Solanum lycopersicum: one gene and its partner. The protein of the gene in region 1 interacts with the protein of each later gene in a pairwise test. Links are inferred from orthologs where the notes say so. Each region holds a gene or a part of one and is shown on either strand. Other genes may lie near its edges.

What was found.
Region 2: the proteins of dehydration-responsive element-binding protein 2F (region 1) and WOX4 interact in binary tests that used the Arabidopsis thaliana proteins (3 or more experiments, as listed by UniProt). The link is inferred for Solanum lycopersicum from reciprocal best matches to the Arabidopsis thaliana genes AT3G57600 and WOX4.

Annotation. Positions count from the first base shown.
Region 1 is NC_090809.1:60,754,956-60,765,872, forward strand, and holds dehydration-responsive element-binding protein 2F, read left to right. Parts: upstream 1-5,570; coding exon 5,571-6,524; 3' UTR 6,525-6,577; downstream 6,578-10,917. Other genes in the region: uncharacterized protein, read left to right, coding at 1-1,962, 2,259-2,331, 2,749-2,895; adenylosuccinate synthetase, chloroplastic, read right to left, coding at 7,356-7,526, 7,986-8,297, 8,575-9,267, 10,078-10,425. UniProt on the Arabidopsis thaliana protein: Transcriptional activator that binds specifically to the DNA sequence 5'-[AG]CCGAC-3'. Binding to the C-repeat/DRE element mediates high salinity-inducible transcription.
Region 2 is NC_090803.1:65,156,484-65,168,180, reverse strand, and holds WOX4, read left to right. Parts: upstream 1-5,695; 5' UTR 5,696-5,717; coding exon 5,718-5,984; intron 5,985-6,378; coding exon 6,379-6,666; intron 6,667-6,889; coding exon 6,890-7,063; 3' UTR 7,064-7,380; downstream 7,381-11,697. UniProt on the Arabidopsis thaliana protein: Promotes differentiation and/or maintenance of the vascular procambium, the initial cells of the developing vasculature.

The DNA of each region.
Region 1 (10,917 bases):
CCACTACAGAGACGGTGTTACTGCTGATGCTATTGATTCTGATGGCTTTAAGCAGGGACGTAAAATAGGAGGTGTGAATACCCGACATGCTGCACCAACTGAGAACTTGGATACTTTAATACAGGGCAACAAGAATGGCCTGCAAGAAAATCAGCCTGGAAGCTCTCTGCTGCCTGTTAAGAGAAGTTTTGATGCCCCTACTGCTTATGAAATAGAAGTCAATAAAACTAAAGCCATACCAGAGATAAGTTCTGATCCATGTGCAAAGGCAGCCAAAAAGTTTAAGCAGGATGTTGCTGGTTTCATTCAGAACACTGTTCCTGATTTGATATCGTCTCAAAGAGGTGGAGTCCCAGCAGAATCATGTGGAGGAAGTCAATCTATTGTTCAAAAAAGGAACTCGAAAGGTGATGGTACCCTCGAAGCAAATGGATGCCTGAAGGATGGTAAAGCAAAGCATGCTGGATCAGCAAGTGTTTTATGTGGCATTGACTCTAGTATCAAGGATCTGTTGCCTCAAAGAATGAGTTCAGACAAGAAGTTCAAAAATATTGGAAGTAGCAGTAATTGTTGTCCTGAACAGGGAATATCAAGTGACTCATCCCTGCGTGTGATTCAGCAGGATTCTCGCACTTGTGGCTCCAAAGGTGACCTGGATTATAATCTTCCACGAGATCTGCAAAATGGCGAACCTTCTAATGCAGACAAAGAGAATATTGAGCAAAGTCGTGAATCTGAGTTCTCTAGTGATACTGATGAGTATCACTATGAGAGTACTGCTCTTGCTTCACATAAAAATGATTTTTTGAACTTGCAATACGCTCAGGGTGAAGATTCTTTGGCAATTATTGACTGTACAGAGCTTAATCTTTGTGTGAAGTGTAACAAGGGGGAAAATTTATTAGTTTGTAGTTCTGATACTTGCTCTTTGGTGGTTCATGAAAGTTGCTTGGTTTCTGCACCCAACTTTGATTACAAAGGAAGCTTCTATTGCCCCTTTTGTGCATATTCTCGAGCCATTTCTGAGTACCTGGAATGTAAGAAGAAGGTCTCACTTGCTAGGAATGATTTGGCTGCATTTATTGGCATGGGAGCTGGAAAACAATCAAAGAAGTCACTACCTAGGTCACAAGTTATGAAGAAGCATCAATCTCGAGAGGGTAAGAATTCATTGAATGAGGTCACAGAAGCAGGAAGTGCTCCAGCCGATAGGAGTTCTGTCGGAGCTCAAGTCATTCAAACCAGTGCTCCTAAACCAGAGCCTTCTCTACCTTGCAATGAAAAAATGAGGAATTCATTGAATGAGGTCACAGAAGCAGGAAGTGCTCCAGCCGACAGGAGTTCTGTCAGAGCTCAAGTCATGCAAACTGGTGCACCTCAACCAGGAACTTCTCTACCCCACAATGATAGTGGGAGGAATTCGTTGAATGAGGTCAGAGAAGCAGGAAGTGCTCCACCCTACCGGAGTTCTGTCGGAGCTCAAGTCATGCAAACTGGTTCACCTCAACCAGAGGCTTCTCTACCTGAACAATGCTTAGTAGCTGGTCAACAACCCGACAAATCACCTCTTAGATGTCAGAGATCAAGACATAGATCAAGACAGAATCAGTCCAGATCGGAAGAAGAATTGTGTCATGATGAGAATAGAAACAAAAATTCTTTGGAGAAGGCTGAACCAGCAGGAAGTCATAGATCAAGACAGAATCAGTCCAGAGAGGAAGAAGAATTGTGTCATGATGAGAATAGAAACAAAAATTCTTTGGAGAAGGCTGAACCAGCAGGAAGTCATCCAGTAACTAGAAATTCTATGCATGCGGAGGTCACGCAGGTCCATCCACCTCAACCACATGTTCCTCATGAACATGTGTGCCAAGAAAGTTCTTCTATAGAAGTAAGTTCTGAAGAAGAGCAAGATGAGATAGGTTCCGGATACCTTGTACAATTTAGGAATCAAGAAAACAAGTAAGTCTTTTGCACTTCTCCACTTATTCAAATCATGTGGTCGCTTCATATATTCTTCCAAGAAGTGTCATCTGATTCACTTATACTTTCAAGTGTCTGCACTTATTTCTGTTTTCTCATCTCTTTTATATTGAATCAAAACATTTTGTTAATAGTGATAATCAGGCACGTGAATTACTGTTTTTTTTTTTTTTTTTTGGTTATGATTTATACCTCTGATAGTTTGCTGTTCATTTTTATTGTTAGAGGGAGTAGTTGGAAACTCTGTTGATAAAGGATGTACTTTTAATTTGCAGTTTCTGTCCCTGGATTCCTCAAATGAGGAGGAAGAAGCTCCCATGGACAAAAATGGAGGAGGAAACATTAAAGGTACATGCATATTCTTTTGTCTAAAGTTTGCTTGTTTACTGCCTCACGCTTCTTCTCTCCTTGAAAATGTGGTTAGAATGCACCCCCTTTGTTCAAATAGAAGGTAGATCATGCATATTCTTTTGTCTAAATTTTGCTTGTTTTCTGTCTCATGCTCTCTCTCTTCTTGAAAACGTGGTAAGAATGCACCCCTTTGTTTAAATAGAAGGTAAAATTCATCTCTTTTTCTGTAAGTGCACATATATTTACTTATGAAAAAAGAAAAGATTGTCCCATTCAATAGGAATAAGGGGTTCCTTTTTGTTGGTTTCACTTGAACGTTGGAGGAATTTACATGCAGCTGTGCTTTTTCTTTCATGTTGCGTATATTTAAGGGAAATATATCAATTTTACTAGCCTTTGTTGTTGCTTTCGCAGGAGGGATTGCTACGATTCTCACATTTTCATGATAGATGGAAGAGGATTCTAGATTTTGGAGGTGATGTTTTCATGAAAGGTAGGACACCGGGGGACCTCAAAGATAAGTGGAGAAACATTAGCAAAGCAGACGAGAAAGAAACATAAAGGTTTCTTTTTTAAAATAGACTCTATATATATGTATTTGTTGTCTAAAATTGTTGAGTGCTTTATGTTGCTAAAGTCTCTTCGATGGTAGTTTTTGTTAGAATTTTTTTTGGAATGAATTAAGGTAAGAAGCCAAAATTAGAAGTTCCCATGCAGCTTCCAGAAAATAGCATTTTGTTATGAACTTTTCTCTAGGTTAAGTGTAGAAACGTTGAAATTCCTGCTTGTAAATGTTTTGAAGATTTAATAACAACCTTGTTTAGCAAGTCTACCACTTTGTTTGATCTTTTATGATGTCAATGATATGAAATGGTCACTTTTTGAAGTATGAATACGACATCGATTTGTGACAGTTTTAATTCTGTTGCTTCGAAAGTAGTTGTTCCAGCTTCAGCCACTCGAGTTTTAGTTATTTCTTTTGATTTCTCATCAAATGAATGATACAATTTAAGACATTGACTAGGCAGGGATTCACTGTGCAAGAAACATGTTTATTTAGTTCTATGGTTATGGTGTGTGTATATATTCTGTATTTTTCTATTCCATGTATGTACGACGTGCATAACAATCCTCCACGAGGTAAGTGTAAGATCTACGTACATTCTATCCTTTCGTTCTTCAACAAATTGGTAAGCTTATATTTCGTCATCATATATGCAAAGGGGAACATAAGCCCGTGTTTCTCCTTTTATTACTCTCACAGGTTTACTACTACATATTACTATTAGTCTTCTTCAACTAGTTTTTTTTCTGTATACCATTTCTGGTCAACTTGTCATTAGTTTACTGGGTGAAATGACCTTTATACCCCTCCCATCGAATCGAGTGTAGCGGGAAAAAAAACAATAATGCCACGTGTCCTCTATTTACTGGATCGATGTGTCCGTAACGTTTTTCCTATTTGTACAATGTAATTCTCTAACGGGGAAATTCGATCGAACTCCTTCCGAATCATATATATATATATATATATATCTCTGGGGTGGACGTTGGATCCACAAAATAACATAAATTGTGAGTTAACTTTTGTCCAGATTGTTAATTTATTAAGAAATTCATTAAATATCTATAAATACTCAAACTATGAACCCAATTGTTAATATTTATGATATAACTTGAGAACCATGCCACTCCCTGACCTCGAAAATCGAACTTTCCTCGAGTCTATTCTGAATCCATTTGTCACTTCGTGACCTTGAAAATCACGCTTTCTTTTGAATCTATCATATAAAACGTTACCTATAACTTTAAATTCTGAATCTACTTCTGTCATTCTCGAGTCCATTTGAGAGTGTGGTTCAAGTTGTGTTGTGTGCGTACGTATAAGACTGCATGGGATAAAGATGAATGTAAAGACTCGAGAATCAGGCTGTGAATGTCAGGAAAAAAAATACATGTGAAATTTAGAGGCTCGTGAATTTCAAAAATTCTTGTGAGGTGCTTTTTAATACTTATACAAAATTTATTAGTAAAAATTCATCACTGGCTAGTATTTCTTCTTCTGTGACTTTTATGAGAGAAGAAGAGTGTAGTGTGTTAGACCATTTTGAATTTATTATTAAATTAGAGAATCCAAGGAATGTGAGGTGTCATACTTCATTCAATTCAAAGCAATCTTTTTAGTTTGAGATTACAACAATGATGGATTTCATTAGAGAGTATTGTCTTTCTTTATATGATTTTTACTTTGACACGAAATGAAGCTTAAGAAAATGGAGAAGGTTTTTTTTTATCTTATGGTATTAAACGGAAGATAGGTAAAATAATGTCAAAAAAGTTGCATTTGATCTTATGATCTTAATCATGACATGTAAAAAGTTAGAATTAAAGAGTAAAATGAAAAGGAAAAAAAATTCTTTTAGATCAGACAATAAGATAAATAAAGAGAAGAATTAACCTAAATAACATTGACGCAACCACTTAAACTAAAAGTAATCGATGGATATATAATATATTATAATACATGCAATATGTGTATAATCATACATAATCAGTATATAATCTATATATTTCAGCTAGAAAAAGTAAATTATGAATCTAATCATCTATTTGTATAGAGTGTTATAGAACCACTTATCATTTCCCTTAGGTTATCCGTTTTACCGTATAAATAACCTGATTGTGTAGAATTTTTATCTATTATTGTCACTGTGTATAACTTAAACTTCGTAAAATGAAAGAATGAGAGAAATTAGAACTAAAGAATAATGTGACTTTGACATTATATTCAGTGTACACTGTTTACTACTTAGCTCAAACGGTCACATGCATGAGCTCTTATAACACTAACAAACGTGAAAACATTTAAATCAAAACTACAAATTCTTCCCTTATACACACATATATATATTACTACTCCTTCCAATATATATATCTCACACTCAACACTTAGCAAAAAAAAAAACAATACTACACTTTCTTGTACGACACTGATAGTCTAGTCTAGCGTACTATAAACGGGCTTTCAATTAGCCCGAAAAGTGAACACTCTACGGATCTTCGACACTGATAATCTAGTCTAGCGTATTGAACGGGCTTTCACTTGGCCCGAAAAGTTAACACACTAAAGTCTGTTGTTTTGCTTCGCCTACTTATCCAAAGTTAACTACACTTCACTAAGCTTTGGCCTTTCAGTACGATACAGATAATCTAGTCTAGCGTACTGAACGGGCTTTATGGATAGCTACAAAAGAAATCCACTAAAACCATGGAAGAAGGGCCCGGCAAGAGGGAAAGGGGGCCCGCAGAACGCGTTATGTGAATACCGAGGCGTTCGACAGAGAACATGGGGTAAATGGGTAGCAGAAATAAGAGAGCCTAAAAAGAGAACTAGGCTATGGTTAGGATCTTTTGCTACAGCTGAAGAAGCTGCAATGGCTTATGATGAAGCAGCAAGAAGATTATATGGACCAGAAGCTTACCTTAATTTACCTCATATGAGAGCTAATTTCAATCCACTGAACAAATCACAAAAGTTCAAATGGTTTTCATCAACCAACAACTTTGTTTCATCATTGATACCAAATACCACTGGCTTACTCAACTTAAGTGCTCAGCCAAATGTTCATGTAATTCACCAAAGGCTTCAAGAACTCAAGAGAGCAGAGGCCGCGGCTGCAACAGCAGCAGCAGCAGCAGCCTCATCTTCGAGTTCATCAATCACCGACATTCCCAAAAATGAAACTCAAAAGTATAGTAAATTACAACCTGAATACTTGACAATGACAAGTCCACACGTGATGATCAAGGAGAAGGAAGATGAATTCTCATCACACAACAATGTAGCCGTTCGTGGTGATCAAGCTGAGAAGCCTCAGATTGATCTGAATGAATTTCTTCAACAGATAGGAATACTGAAAAGAGACGATCATCATCAACAACAACAGCCTGATAAAAATCAAGATCATGATCATAATAATAATAGCATCAGTAGTTTCACAGAGTCAAGAGTTTCACTAAAAGACGATAGTTCAATTGCTCATTTATTTGGTGATACAACAAGTTACAATTGGGACACATTGGGTTCAATAACAGGTATAGAAGATCATGAGGTAGCAGCAGAAGAGGCTAATAGCTTTTATAATGTGAATGATGAGCTTATGTTTCCATCTTCAATATGGAACTTTTGAAAGAATTTATCTTATATACACTGAATGTCGGTATATTTTAACCGACTATATAAGGCTATTGCAGAACTTTTAACTTAAATAGAATAAAAAACTTAATTAAATATCAAGTCAGGCAATTATAAACCAATTGTATTTCAAAATAGAGAGTCCTCTATCACGTGGAACTTAGATTCAGTTCTTTTAAAAAACTGGGAATTAATTAAGTTCATGTTCTATATATTTCACAATAAAAATTTTCAAATACATACTTATATATTTTTAACCATACAATAAATTGATTTATAGTTTAAGAGACCAATGTCTGCTCAATCCATTCTTCTCAGACCCAGGAGAGCCTCCTAAGCCACTATTAACAGTGAAGTAACATCATCTTAATAGACACCACAGGTTGAACACAGAAATGAGTGCAAGCTTGAAAATTAAGTTCCGGGGTAATAGGATACTCGCATGGTTTAGACGTGTAACCAACAGTTTCATCACAGTTGAGGGTTGTTCTCATGCATTATCCCGAGTACATACGTTTACCAACAGAAAATTCTGATATAGATCAACAGGTCAAAAGTTAAAATGGCAAACAGTTCAATACAGGGAGAAGCGTCATCACTCAAGCAAGCTAGTGGCGTTCTTAACTGACTGTTCCTTGGGAGGTTCAACAAAATCCCGAAAGGAAAACAGGGAGGCGTATATCTAGCTTTAAAAACAACAAGTACATTATTGTTACATTAAGCAACGACATCAAATTGATAATGCCTAAAGTTACTACAAGCTTAGCTAAGGTTTACCAGCAATTTGAAGTATATGATTCTGGTAATATGACGAGCGTATCTAAAATCACTTGTAGATAAGGGCGTCACGACCAGGCCCAATACCAATGTAGTGGATAGGTACCCCAACAAGCTCCTCTATCCTTTCTACATACTCGCGTGCAGCCTTGGGCAAGTCAGAATACTTCCTGATTGAAGAAATATCAGTTTTCCATCCAGGCAAAACTTCATACTCCACCTACATAGATGAGAAAAAGGAAAACATATAGTAGAAGTCACAAACACACAATACAAGAAAATAGAAAACGGTAATAAGATACAAGCAACATGGGGCATTAAAGAAGTATCAATATGCATACTAAAGGTCTACCGACATGAAAAGCCAATAGAAAAAAATCATGATATATGGGAGAGAAAAGGCAGATTGAAAGAACAAAAAAGTTGCAAAAATTAGGGAACTTCATTTTCATCCACCTTCCGGTAATAGGGTAGAGGAAATTAAACTATAGTTAACTCCTCGCTGAAAAACATAACTTTTATGAAAAGGTTTTAATGTTTTCCCACACATCAATGTGTTAATATGGCTCAATTTCCCAAAACATTCACATAAAAATTGAAACTAATAATCTGGTCTTCCAAACACCACAAAGATCATCACGTAAAAAGATGTTGAAGTGGGAAAACAAAAGAAACTTACCTTTATTTGTTCGAGAAGACTTAGATCAGAAGGAAAAGAATTTAATGTTGAACCATCAGGATGCCTGTAAGTAACACCCAACTGAATTTCTGATAGATCTGACAGCACATCTAGTTTTGTCAGGTTTAGAGAAGCAAATCCATTTATTTGACAGCAGTATCTTAGTGCAACTATGTCTAGCCAACCACAGCGACGCGGGCGTCCAGTAGTTGTACCAAACTCCTGCCCAGCAGAACGAAGAAGATCGCCATATTCGCCCATGAGTTCTGTTGGGAAAGGACCAGAACCAACTCTTGTCGTATATGCCTTAACCTGCAGGAAAAGCATCAATTAAAACAGCTCAATATTTGCTGCTCTGTGCATAAAGTGCGATAAATGCAGACTGAAGGACCATGCAGTCAATTGATTCCTAAGAGCTAGTTGATATGAGGATCATATTCTTATGGCTAAAATCTGGGTTTATCACACGTTTAGCTAATTGACGATGATAGATGTACAGCAATAAGTTTTAGGAAAGATAAAACTGTTCTTCATTCTTCAGTATAAAAGGACAAAAATTCTTTTAAGAAAATAAATCGAGTTTGCTTACCACACCAACAAGATCACCGACAACTCTGGGAGCAATTCCAAGACCTGTGCAGATTCCACCAGCTGATGGACTGGATGAAGTGACAAAAGGGTATGTCCCAAAATCGATATCCAGCATAGTTGCCTGACCACCTTCTACCAAAATCTTCTTTTTCTGAGATATAGCATCATTCATGAAGTGCACAGTATCTGTAACGAAAGGTTCCAACCTCTCAGCAAATTTCTTATAGCGTTCCACTTCCTCCCTGAGCATGTCAGGGCAATACTTAAAACCTTGGAATCTTGAAGCGGCATCTGATAATAAAAGATCAAGCTTTTGGGGGAATGTGTCCATATGCCTTAAATCACTAACCCTTATGCCATTTCGAATAACCTTGCTTGAATAGGAAGGCCCAATGCCTCTCTTGGTGGTACCAATAAAGGACTTATCTAGCTCAGCTTCTCTAAGCCCATCTACTTCTTGGTGAAAATCAAATAACAAGTGAGCACGATCTGATACCAAAATCCTTCCTTGACAAGAAACTCCATTAGATTCAAGATTGTCAATTTCATTAAAAAGTCCTGGTAGATGTACCACGACTCCGTTACCAATAACACATAAAGTTTCCTCATTGAGAATCCCTGAAGGGACAAGGTGCAGAGCAAACTTCTTCCCCTCAGAATTGTAAATAGTGTGCCCAGCATTGGCTCCTCCCTTACAACCAAAAACATTATTGAAAAGCTCAGCTAGCATAGTTAACAAGTTTATCTATCCCAAGCAATATAAAGTAAAGTAGAATGGTAGGATGAGAAATAAATAGAAACAACAATTTAAAACAAAATGGTATAGATGAGAAATATATATGAACATTATACAAAAAATATTTGATCTTTCACCTAAAGACATGACTTAGGTCATTGGGTTGAGAACCCTGAACTCTAATTTTCAAATCTCTTGTAGTTGAAAACAGTATGTGATTTCACCGTATTTGTCCAAGCCTTGGTAGATAGAGTTATGAGGTAGTTCCAGCAGGTACCAAATGGGAGCAATCAAGTGATCGAAAAGTAATACGAGGAAAATTTTCTCTTTCAACTCTACACTCTGCCTCTGTTTCTACAGATACACTTGCATCAAAAAAAATAATACGAGGAAACTCTAGAATCAAAAGAAACTATGATCCTAAGGTATCACTAGGGCTTCTTTTGGAGGCCTCTTGAATCCTAACTCACCCACTTACTGAAACCAAGCATATCTAACAAAAAATTCCAAATAATGAAGCAAATACTGTTCTTGATTTGGCCTAAAGTATACTCTAAGATGCTAACTATACAGTATGAGTGTTATTTAACGGTTATAGGAAGTTATCGCTCGGACACAAACTCATATAGCACCCAAGGCTGTGGCCTAGTTCTAATTTCAGCAGAGACAAAACACTAGGTGATTTCTTCTAGCGGGACAGAGTTGCTGGTATCCCGTTGAATTAATCGAAATGATAATACCAATAATGAACTCATTTAAATATACCTGACAACGAGCAACAATATCAAAATGCTTAGCCAATATATCAACGAGCTTTCCCTTTCCTTCATCACCCCATTGACAACCCAGCACGCCTGATACCTGACTCAGTGACTCAATTCGACTCAGTCCTGACTCGTTGACCCCTTGACGATCCACTACTGAGGCAAGCGGATTTTTCGAACAAACTATCATTGAAGAAGCCTTCTTCTTCCTTTGCTGGAACTGAATGAGCCTACAACTATTGGTCCCATTGTAACCGATGGTCCCACTCCGGTGACTCACCTTCGCCGTCGCTGTAGCTTTCGCCGTTGTGATTGAGCTGGCATCAAGCCTCATGGTTGACATGTTCATGGTGGCGGCACCGGGCGGCGTGCGGTTGCGCTGTGCACAGAGAGGAGGAAAAATGTGTTTTCAGGGTTTAGGTTCAGGAGAATTGTTAGGTGGAGAGCATGGGACCAATTCACTACGTTAGAGAATAATAATATATTCATAGGTACACTCTCATTTTTAATTATTAATCTCGAATTAATTTGTAAATTACTTAACTTTAAAATATATATCAAACAAAATATTTTCAACGTGAATCTAGATTAATCAAACATCCAAACATATATATAATTCAAAAGAATTTTTTTTCAATTATTCTCCTTTTGTAATATCTTTTATGTGTGTGTACCTTTTTACTGAATGTGATTTCTTTTTTTTTTATAATCGATTCTATTTAACTTCTAATTATAGTACAACAACATATCCAGTGAAATCTCACAAGTGTAATATGTAACCTCTAATTGTAAACAAGTCTAATTATTTTAAATTAACATGAGATAAGAAACCAATATTACA
Region 2 (11,697 bases), on another chromosome or scaffold:
CTTTATCCCATTATCATAATCAAAAAATTATTTTTTGTGTTGTAGTATGTGTCACCCACATAACTGAGTATTTATGGCTATGAATCCCAAATGAGCTTCTCCGAGCTAATATTGATAGGGTTAAAATAGTAAACTGACTTTTATATAATTATACCGTCGTTTATATATTTGTCTCGTAAAACTATTGACTCTAAAGCACGTAATTTTTCCTATATTGGAAAACCACAAGATGATGGAAATTGATGATGTTGATATATACGGACACAAACTATATATTAGGCAAATAAAGAAAGATCAAAGAAAAAAGGTGACAGACATAATATAAAAGAGAATCGTATAATGGCACCATGAGTATGTATATTTTGTTCAATTAGATGCTAAAAGGGAACAAAGTAACCTACCCCTCAAATTGAACATGTGGGACGTCTAATTTAATTGGAGACACAGAAGATGTTCAAATACAATAATGAGCTAGCTCAACATTAATGATCATTTGTCGATGAGTTTAAATTCTTTTACGTTTGATTGATAAAAATATTTTTGTTATTTTATAGAAATAAGAAAAAAAATAAGTTTTATAAATTATATGACAAGTTCATTATCTCCTCCTTACCAATCAATTTTAAATTCTTGAAAAACAAGTAAGAGAGAAATACGAACAAATAATTAGTGACTGAATCAATAATGAGAGTGTTATTATATATCCAAATGGCCACACGTACTCAACTCATTGTGTAACGTATATTATTATTCCTCCATTCTACTTTTTTACTTCTTTTTAATTAGTTTCATTATTTATAAGAACGTTCTAATCAGGCAAAATTTTAGGTTTGTCATCATATTTCATCTGTTACTTTTTTTTTCTTTTACCTTGAAAGATGAAATTAGATAATTATATGTTCACTTTGTTCAAGATTCTATTTACACTAATTATTATAAATCAGGTACAAAACCATCAGCACTTTGAAAAAAAAATTAAAAAACAGCTGGAGATTAATTAAAGAATCAATCAATCTAGAAAAACTTATATCTAATTAATTAATTTTAAACGAGTTTAAGCAAATAAAAAAATCTTTTTATTTTGGTGAGCTGTACTAAAAAAAAATAAAGTAAAAATAAATAAAAAAACTTAATAATTGGATATTTATATTCCTTTGACGTTGGGGCACCGAAACATTTAAATGGGATAACGTGACTAATTTCAAAATTGAAATCATTACAATATGTGAAAACATTTCTACGTAGAAAGAATGACTTCTTGGCAGGCCAATAACAAGACAATTTAATTTGGTATCTTGTCCAAACGACAAACCCATATGTAGAATTTTTTTTCTAACCTAATTTTCTTAGGTTTTGTAGGTACTAAGTCTACTAGATATGGTCTGAGAAAAATACAACAATAATAATATATAATTTCATAAGCGGATTCTGAAATGATGCGATGCATTCAACTTTATTCATATCTTCATAGGGGTAAAATTATGACCATAACATTAAATCAAGAAGTCTATATATATCGACAAAGAATACATAGGTATACAGGTAAGTAAAATTTACATCTTAATGATGTGTTTTAAAGTTGTGTGGATCTTGGTCCAAAGAGAATAATATCACTTAGTGGACTAGACAGTTACAAATGATATCAAAGTCACTCTTGTCTCAACCTTGTGTACGTGGATTAGATTTCAATTGAGTTTAGACAAATTTTAATAAGATGAGATAAATCTAATGAGTACTGATTTTAGATAAATTGTATGCGGTGAAGAAAAATCTCATGGAGGACGATAATTCCATAAGAGGGATTTAGGTGACACCTCATCTTATAAAGATAAAAAAAAAGTTCCACATAGGAATAAAAACTTAAGAAAAATGCTAGGTATAAACGTAAACAAATCTTACATCTGAATGATGCGTTTTAAAGCTTCGCTAACTTAGATTCGAAACAGACAATATTACTAGTGAATTGCATGAATCATTTTCAAATAACCCCTCCGTGAAGTTGTCAAAAAGTATGATAGCAAGATATCGATTTAAGTAATAAATAGTAATGAGAAAAAAAGTGAAACGAAAAACAACCTTTGCTTATTTTCAAAGGGTGCATGCAAAATCTCTCTTTTATGTACGACGTTAAATTGGATAGTAAATTTATTTATATATGAATATAATAATATAATTTGAATAAAGTTTTATGTACTACAGCTCCTACTATAAATTTGTCAGAGAAAAAAACATCGCATGTTTGATTGGACATCACTCTTTCTGTGTAAATAATTTTCAAACTTAGCTTTATTCAAACGAGTGGTTACTTGTCATTTGACACTCTCCACGCCTAAATTTTGAATTAATCTTACGAAGTTATATGTATGACTATCTAAAATTTCAAATATCATCATTACTTTTGTGAATTCGGGACATAATTTAATCGTAAAATTAGCTCATAAGAAAATAATGTGAAGGTATATATATTTTTTATTAACAGTGAACATTTGAATCTCGAACGTTTAATATGAAGGCTTGATTTTAATTAACAATAAATGAAATGAGTTTTGCCCAAATATCATGTTATTGACTTTGGACAGAATTTAATCGTATAAATTTGCTCATAAAAGATAGAATTGTCTTAGACCATATAAAGAGATCACTTATCATTTTTTTATCTGATGCGAAACTTTTCAATGAAATAATTGTGTTTAATTAATTTTGTGTGAGATGATTCGTAAATAAAAGCAGATAGAAAAATGAAGATTTATGTTCATACCAAGATCTATACGATCAAGAGTAGAAATATATAACTGGATCATAGATCTTTCAGAAATTGGGGCATAAATTTCAGCACTCCCTTGAAGACTTTTACTATAAAGTTGTTGTTGGATTCACATTTCAAGTTATCATAATACATAAATGGATCGTAATATTTGAATTTAACTAATTTTTATGTTTTTCAAATTTTTTATATACAAATAAACTCTTTAACTGGTTACATAAAATATTTTTACATGAAAATTCATGTGATACTCTATGTAAAACAATACATAGAAGACTTGCATCTACTTTACTCGATGCATACTCTAAAATTTAGAGAATAAAAATATCAACTGAGTCCAAATTAAAAAATTTATTCCAATCTATCATCAAATTGAGGACACAAATTAATTATCCTAAAAAATACAGACAAGACAAGAAATACCTGCCTTCAATAATAAGCTGCCACGTTTGTGAATAAGCCAGCTCCTATAATAACCTTTCTATATTTTAGTCAAGCTGAATATTTTCTTCTCTTTTTTTTTTTGACTTTTTTTATAACTCTTAGAAGAATTAATGGGTTTCGGTGCATTCTCAACATTAAATAAATTAAAAGAACAAAGTATTTAGACACACAAAAGAAAAAGAAAGATATGAATCAGTGAAAAATAATTTCCAACGTTCTTGACTATATTGTAGTATATAATTTGATGCCTAAATTAATAAAATTCAATCATTGATGGGTGACAGATAATTAGGGAATTACTTTGATGCATGTGCTTGAATCATGCAAAGACTTTTGCTATACAAAAATGGAGATAATAAAATTTTTTTAAAAAAAGTATGAGATAGTGGATTTTCTTTTAATAATATTTGGGAAATTGGAGTATACAGTTCCCAAAGAAAAAAGGGGATATTTGGGTTATGGGCATATAACTAAAGCTACATCAGATGGATTTTTGTCACATATATAGTATACAATATGTCTACACACGTCATGCATGTAATATACTCCCTCCTTTGTCCAACTTTATTAACCACTATATAAAAAAAAATACTATATAAATCGATATCTATTTTTACTTATCTAATTTGAAAAAATCGACGGACTACTATGTATCACGTAGTTTTATATTACCCTTACATACAACTATATTCAAATAATGATATAATGAGTAATTGTACTCTCTTCGTTAATTTTTATTTGTTTAATTTCAAAAACAAAAAGTTAATTTATCCATGTAATTGACTATAGTTGTTTGTCAATGCATTTTTAAAACTTTGATTTTATTATATTCAGCCAATGTTATTATAAAATTATTGTTTCATTTAATGCTCTTCAAGAACTGTGTCATGTTAATATTGAACAATAAAAAAAAGTAAAATTACATAATTAATTTCATAGTGTTAATTGTTAAGAGCAAATTATATCATCCCTATTCTTCTAAAACACAAAAATCCTTTAAAGATTATAACATTTCTAATAGGTACATTAGAAAAAAGCGAATACATAATTTATAAATTTTCAATGATACATTACTTAATGAGAGGGGATGAATTTGAAAAAAAATTAGAAATGTATCTGATAGAAAAAAAATATATCAAAAAGGAATGAATTTATTCAAGAGAGGATATAAATAGATGTTCTGAGAAAGAATTTTTATAATTTTTTCAAAAATTATTATTAAATATAGACAAATAAAAAAAATCAACGTATCAATAAATTGAGAGTGTTTTTTCTAACATAATATTCCACTACATAAAGACGGCATTCAATTTATTTTCCCCGTATCCGTATCTTGGAAAGAAACAAAGAGTTCCAATAAGGAGTTTAGGGATTGGTGGAAACTTTTTTTGCTTTAATAATTTATTTATTTTTCTTGTCCTAACTTTATTTAATTTTAATGATACATTATATTAAAAAAGTTTATTTAGAAGGAGAAGAGGCCACCGAAAAGCATGGACAAATTATAATGATTAAAGTAAGAAGAAGAAAGAAGAAAAAAAAAGGCAAAAAAATAGAGAGAAAAAAGAGAAGAAAAATTACTCATTACATTTTATTTTAGTTGATTAGACTAGCCAACTACACACACGCATACATTCACCCACACGCTCACCAATTCAATTCATTTCATTCATTCATAATAGTAATTTTACACCTTTTTTAAATTTTTTTTTTTTTTTTGCCTCTTATCTATAGCTAGCTAGCTCTCTATTGATCCACCTTTTTTTTTTCCTCTTACTTTTTAAAATGGAAATCATAAGTCAACCTCACCTCATCATTTGGTCTTGGTTCTTATAGGCACCCACCTCATTTCCCACTTTCTTTTATTATTAATTTTACCTTTTTTTCTTCGATACTTTTTTTTTCCAGAGAGTAACGTCAACATCCTGTCTATAACAAGGTGTACGAAGAAATTGGAGTGATTTGAGTCGATGTTAGAATCGATTAATCATTTTCTTCATTACCTTGCTTTTGCTAACGTTGAATAACGTCAATATTTTATTTATGACAAAGGTCCATAAGGGTGGTGGAGTGACTCGAGTCATAGCCAGGATCAATATAACGCTCGTTTGGTGGTTTAGTTGAGAAATAAAATTATGTCCTTGTGAATTACTTAACTTTCAAATTCTTGATTTATATATGTTCACATAAATATCTAATTGAATTTGTGTTAGACGATCACAATTTTCAAAAATTATTTTTTTAAAACTTTATGCCTCGTCAAACTATGTCACAGTTTACCTAACACATAATTCAGGTTAAAATTTTAACTTAATATAGATTGTTAGATTAATTACCGCATATAGTTATCTTTTAGGTGACTTGATGATTGCAGTGTAAAAATTCTTTTTTACACTAGCAACGAATGATGGTAGTTAAACTCCACCTTTTTTTAGTAGGAGTGATAATTGAGTTCTATATAATGGGGATGCCTCTAGTGGCATATGAATACTAAAAGCTGTCTAGCTCCATGTACATGGGATCATCATCAGGAAGCTTAAGTATGAAGGTGCATCAATTCACACGTGGATTCTTAGAGCATGAAGCTGCTTCTCCTTCACTTACACTTGGTTGCAAACGTTTAAGACCACTTGCTCCTAAGCTCAACACAACCAATAATGATACCACAACTACCATTGTTACTCCTCCTTTTGATCTTAAGAGTTTCATTAGGCCTGAAAGTAGCAATAGCCCTCCTAAACTTGCTTACAATGAAGACAAGAAAGACTCCTCTCAGGTAATTTCTAAATGTTTTTTTTTTTTTTTGCATATTTACGTAATGAGTTCAGTTGAACTAACAGAATTCGTCTTTAGTAGATGTATGAGTTCAACTGAATTCAATTGTTTTGACTTAAACTTTCTTAGATATGTACGAATAGTACATTTCAAATCGAATAACTCAAATGACCAGTGCATTCAGCTTCATCATGAATTCATAAAGTTTAAATTCTGACGTCTTATCACATCAAATGATAAAGGGAATATTCTTACTAACATCTTGAATTCATAAAGTATACACTTGATTCCACTAGTGGCATGTTAGGACATGTAGGAGATTCGCGAGGTCCATATGAATATACTTTTTTTTTTTGTTAGTGTGGTTGTTGATGTTTTACTTTTAACATATGTAGGTGGAATCACACCCAGGAGGAACAAGATGGAATCCAACACAAGAACAGATAGGGATACTTGAAATGTTGTATAGAGGTGGGATGCGTACACCCAACGCGCAACAAATAGAGCAAATCACAGCACAACTAGGAAAATATGGGAAAATAGAAGGCAAAAATGTGTTCTACTGGTTTCAAAACCATAAAGCCCGTGAAAGACAAAAGCAAAAGAGGAATAGTCTTGGCCTTAGCCAAAGTCCAAGAACACCATCAGCCATAGTCACTAGTCCTTTGTCATTTGACACTAGGGTATGTCTCATGACACGTTTATAACTAAGTTATATACACTGTCAGTATAATTTTATTTAAAAACTGTCCATCTATTTTGACATGTTATAACATGTTGCGTTATATTGTTACTTGTTGTAACGTATCAATAAGTATATTAATTTTGATATGAACCCTTTGCACTACTGTATTGATCTGTAGTTATCTTTTAATTGATCTGATATTGATTTGTTACTCGATACAGGGAGAAGTAGTGAGGGATGAAGATAGTCCATACAAGAGAAAGTGTAGGGGATGGACATTTGAATACATGGAGGAAGAACAACAACAACAAGATGAAGAAGAAATTATAAATTGTAGAGAAAATGGTGATAGGACTCTTCAACTCTTCCCATTGCATCCAGAAGGCATGAGATGATGAATTTATTATAAGAATATTCTTTTTTCCTTTTTAATTATGATCTGACTAGCTTCCTTTTTTTTTTTTTACTTATTTTCGTCATCTTTAATTTTTACTTTCTTCATTTGCATGCTTTGTTTCCTTTTCTTTTATTTTTTTCCTTGTTTTGGGAAAGAGAAAAGAGAAAAGAGAGACATATGAATCATCAAATCTATGTAGTACCAATTCACTTCTCTTGAATTTTGGGCATTTTAGTGACTTATTCCTGACCTAAAATACCCTATCTCCTATGTCTCATTGGAAATGCTGCAAAAATAATCTATTATTTTCTTCTTCTTGTGGTTGATACTTATATGTCAATTCTTATTTAAAAATAAAAAACGACCATGAGAAATCGTTGCTTAGTAATATTCAGTAACCACCTCTATTTTTAGTTTTAAATTTGTAGGTTCAAATCACTAAAGAAGCAATAAGGTGACAATGAAGTGGTAGAAGAAATATGCCAACGGATTTTTAGGCTAAATTAGTTATCTCACCTATCAAAGTATTGGTCTTTGGGTTGTGTCTCTCTCTTTAATTAGTCTATAAAATACTTAAAGATGAAATCAAGATTTAAAATTTATAAATATTTATAATTATAATAACTCAAGTAAAATACTATGATAACAGTTAGATTAAATTTTAATATTTAAATTTTTTTTTAAATATTATTAAATTTACGTAAATTTAAAATGAAGCGTCTAGATTTTCGATGATATTATTCACAAAAGGGGTGATGAAGACACTGAAGTCCACGCACATATCTTTATATAATTCTTCTTTTTTGTTGTTATTTGAGAAATTCAAAGCTGATGGGGTCGGATTAGTGGTTGATTTTTCTTTACATTAATTAATATGTTATTCATGCTAAGCTATAGTACTTTGATATTTGATTTTTTAAAAAAAAAATTCAATTTGTGGAAGACTTTGATAAAGTTGCTTAGCCCATGGCATGTCAATCAGAAGACATGCAATTTCTTTTTTATTTTATAATGTTGACTAATGGATTGTGGGGTAGAAGATCAGTTCATAGATATGACTTTGGAGGGAAAGCAAATAAAACTTAGATTTAAAATAAAATAAAATAATAAAGAGTAGGGTGTAGTTGGATAATTAACCAAATAAATTAATATAGTTAATGATGGAATTTCGATTAGGTAGATAATTAATGCAAAAGGAGATTGATTCATTATATCTTTAATGTGTCTTTTTACTTATTTAGGTTTATGTTTAGTCTTAATTATTTAGATTTTAATTATTTTATTTTATTTTTCAAGTTTGAATTTATCTATTAATATATTAATTATTAAATATATTTGTCTGTCTTGTTTTGTAATTACAGAATCCAAATGAATGATATTTGACAATTTTTTAATTTCATTCAAATGTTTGTTAACAATTTCTTTGTAGAGTAAAATTATAATATTACTTTATCCACTTTAATCAATTTTCTTCAATCATCTTTTAGACTTCAGCACAATCACAAATATTATCAATCATCACAACAATATTCACCGTCATCAATCATCATTATTCGTTACCAATCACTATTACATGCATATTCAACTTACATTATTATCACTAACATATACTACAAATTATCAATTGTCATCATCAAAACTACATGATCAACCTATACCATTCCAATACGCACACACAATCACCATCTCCAACCGTAATTATCATTAACCGTCATATGATTATTTTTTTAAAAAAAAAAATTGATAAAATATTAGATCTATATTTTGTTCATAATATTACATGTTGTAGTTTTTAAAAAAGGCATATTATCCATTTAAAAGTTGAGAAAATAAACAATCTTGATAATTTAATTTTTAATTTTTAAACTTAATTTAATAATAATAATAATTAAAAATAATAATAATAATAATTTGTTAGGGAATATATTGGTGCTATTTATGTAAGTTCTTCCAATTTTTCCGTTAACAATTTTACATAAAATTTGGATCTTATGCCGAATCGCAAACAACAAATTAGGCCCAAGTAGATAAATACATGGACGGATCATTGATTCTTGTGATATGCGTTGTGGGCTTTAGGCCCAAATGCTATTAACCACGAGAAGCTTTTCGGAGGTGATTTGCACAAATATGTTTAATTCCGTTGTGGTATTTAAAAAGGAAAATTACGGAAATTGGATCCACTAGGTAAAGTATTTACTCAAATTAGATCAAATTCAAACTATTTAACTTGATTGGATCCACTGCTTCATCATTCTTAATATCATTGGAGTAGAGGTGGATCTAGGAATTAGGGTCACTGGGTGCCAAGCAGAGGCGGACCACATGATAGGGGTGCACGTGCATCTGTTAACTTCAAAAAGGTTACGTGTATATATATATATATATCTATCGTGAGAAACTGACATAAAGTAGGATATAATAAACTCTACCCATAAGAGGTATAGGGGTGCCCTTGTTTAGTTGGTACAAGCCGGAGGAACCACTCGCGAGAATACAATTCAATCTTATTTTATTATTTTTATTTTAAGTTTAGCTTATAAATCATATTCGAGCCATTAGTAACCAATCAAATACTACATTATTCATTAATTGTAGTGAAATTTTCGTTAACTACCTAAATTAAGATAGTGTTGGTGCATCGAAATCTCCAAATTTTAGATTGTCTCTAATGCTCAGTAGGCTCATCGATTAAATCAATTTTAGATTCAAATAGAATTCGTCTTGTGGCTGGACGGAGAGCAGAATTGGGCGACGGACGGAAGCTTGAAGCTTTATTTAATGACAACTTTTTCTTGTTGAAAAGTTTAAAGGAGGTTTCAACGGTAAAGATAATTTTTTTAATATATTTAATCATGTAAAAGAAAAGTGAAAGAGTTAAATTAAATTAGTTAAAAACAATTATTAATTAATACTCCCTCCCACCCATTTTATGTCGCAACATTTGACTAGAAATAATGAAAACTTTGAAATGTTACCAAATTGTTTTCAAAAAAGTAACTCACTTTTCTCTCTCTTCATAAATGTATTAGAAAATTAAGTGGGACCAATAACGGTAAAAGAGAAATTATTCCTCTAAATACTTATCATATAAGGAAATGTGACATTCTTTTTTAGACGGACCAAAAAGAAAATCAAAAATCAAAAATCAAAAATCAAAAAAAGAATGTGCTAGTAGTTTAAAAAACAAACGCTGCCTGTGGTTAAAAAGAAAAATTGAAACAAAATAAGGCTGTTGCCTGGAATCAATCTCTTTGAACCAGGGGTTGTTAGCTTGCGGGTCTACCATTGCCCCACAGAACAATTTTGTTCTCTGGGTGGCACGGATATAATTTATACAAATATTATATTTATATATAAATAAAATTTTCATGAATGGCGTGACATCCCCACGTACCTGAATGGATCCGCCACTTCATCGAACTATATAAATACTTTAATAATATCAATTAGTAATTGATCAGTATTTTCACTAAAACACTACATATTCCTCCTAGATGTCACCGAGTGGAATCAATGCATCTAATTGTCATACCAGTAGCTGATCACATACTCAACAGCAGAATTAATTGAAAATATTATTAATTGATTGGTAATTTGGATAGTTTCATTCCTTAAATTTCCTTGGTTTAATCATCTCATATTTTCATTTTGCATGTTATACTGTTTGGTAGGTGTACTTCCCCACATTTAATAAAAACTAATAATTGATCAATTATATCATCCAGATAGGATATTATAACATTTATTGAAAAATGCTATATATAGTAATTCAAATTATGATGTGAATTATATGTGTGGAGGATAACTGACCAAGTTTGAATAGCTGATTACATTTATTGATTTAATGAGAAAGAAACATAAATTGGTGTTAGGTATTTAGGTGGTAGTGACATATACATCTATTATAAGTTTTAGTGGTTGAATGGACATAATTATCAACATGTTCTATATTTTTCATGTACTTTTTAGCATGAAGTTGAGACGATAAGATATATATATATTTTTTTAATTTTTCATTTAATATCTGAAGCTCACATTGAAGTCTCAATTAAATTCGAATCGCATATTACAAGGCCTATCTAGAGATGACACTTCAAATAAAATTTTCTCTATACTTAAAGCTCCCAAATTCGATATCTCTGGTTGAAAATTGAAAAATCTTACTACTGCATCATAACCTATGTTGGCCTTAATACTTTCTGTCATTCTCTTGACAGCCTTTCGTTTCTCAAACTTTTGCTAAATTGCCTTTGACAATTATTTCAAAAATAGTGATATGTTAGAATCTCTATACACAAGATCTGTTTTTTTCTTCTTTTTTGGAGTGGTCACTTCACGTGATGCAGAACTTCAGAGACATAATGAATTAAAATAGAAAAAGATAATAAATAGGGACTATCTGATTTTTGGGACCATTAGAATAACACATATGACCTACACAGAGCTAAGTGTGGGTATATATATAACCTATACTTTTTGGCACTTCAATATTTCTATATAGGTAGAAAAATTATATCCACACAAAGATTATGTACTTCATATGGACAGTTCTTATTATATATGGTATTTATAAAGATAAAAGGAACCAATTATGAAGGAGTCAGAGTGTGTGAAGGGGGTTCAATTGAA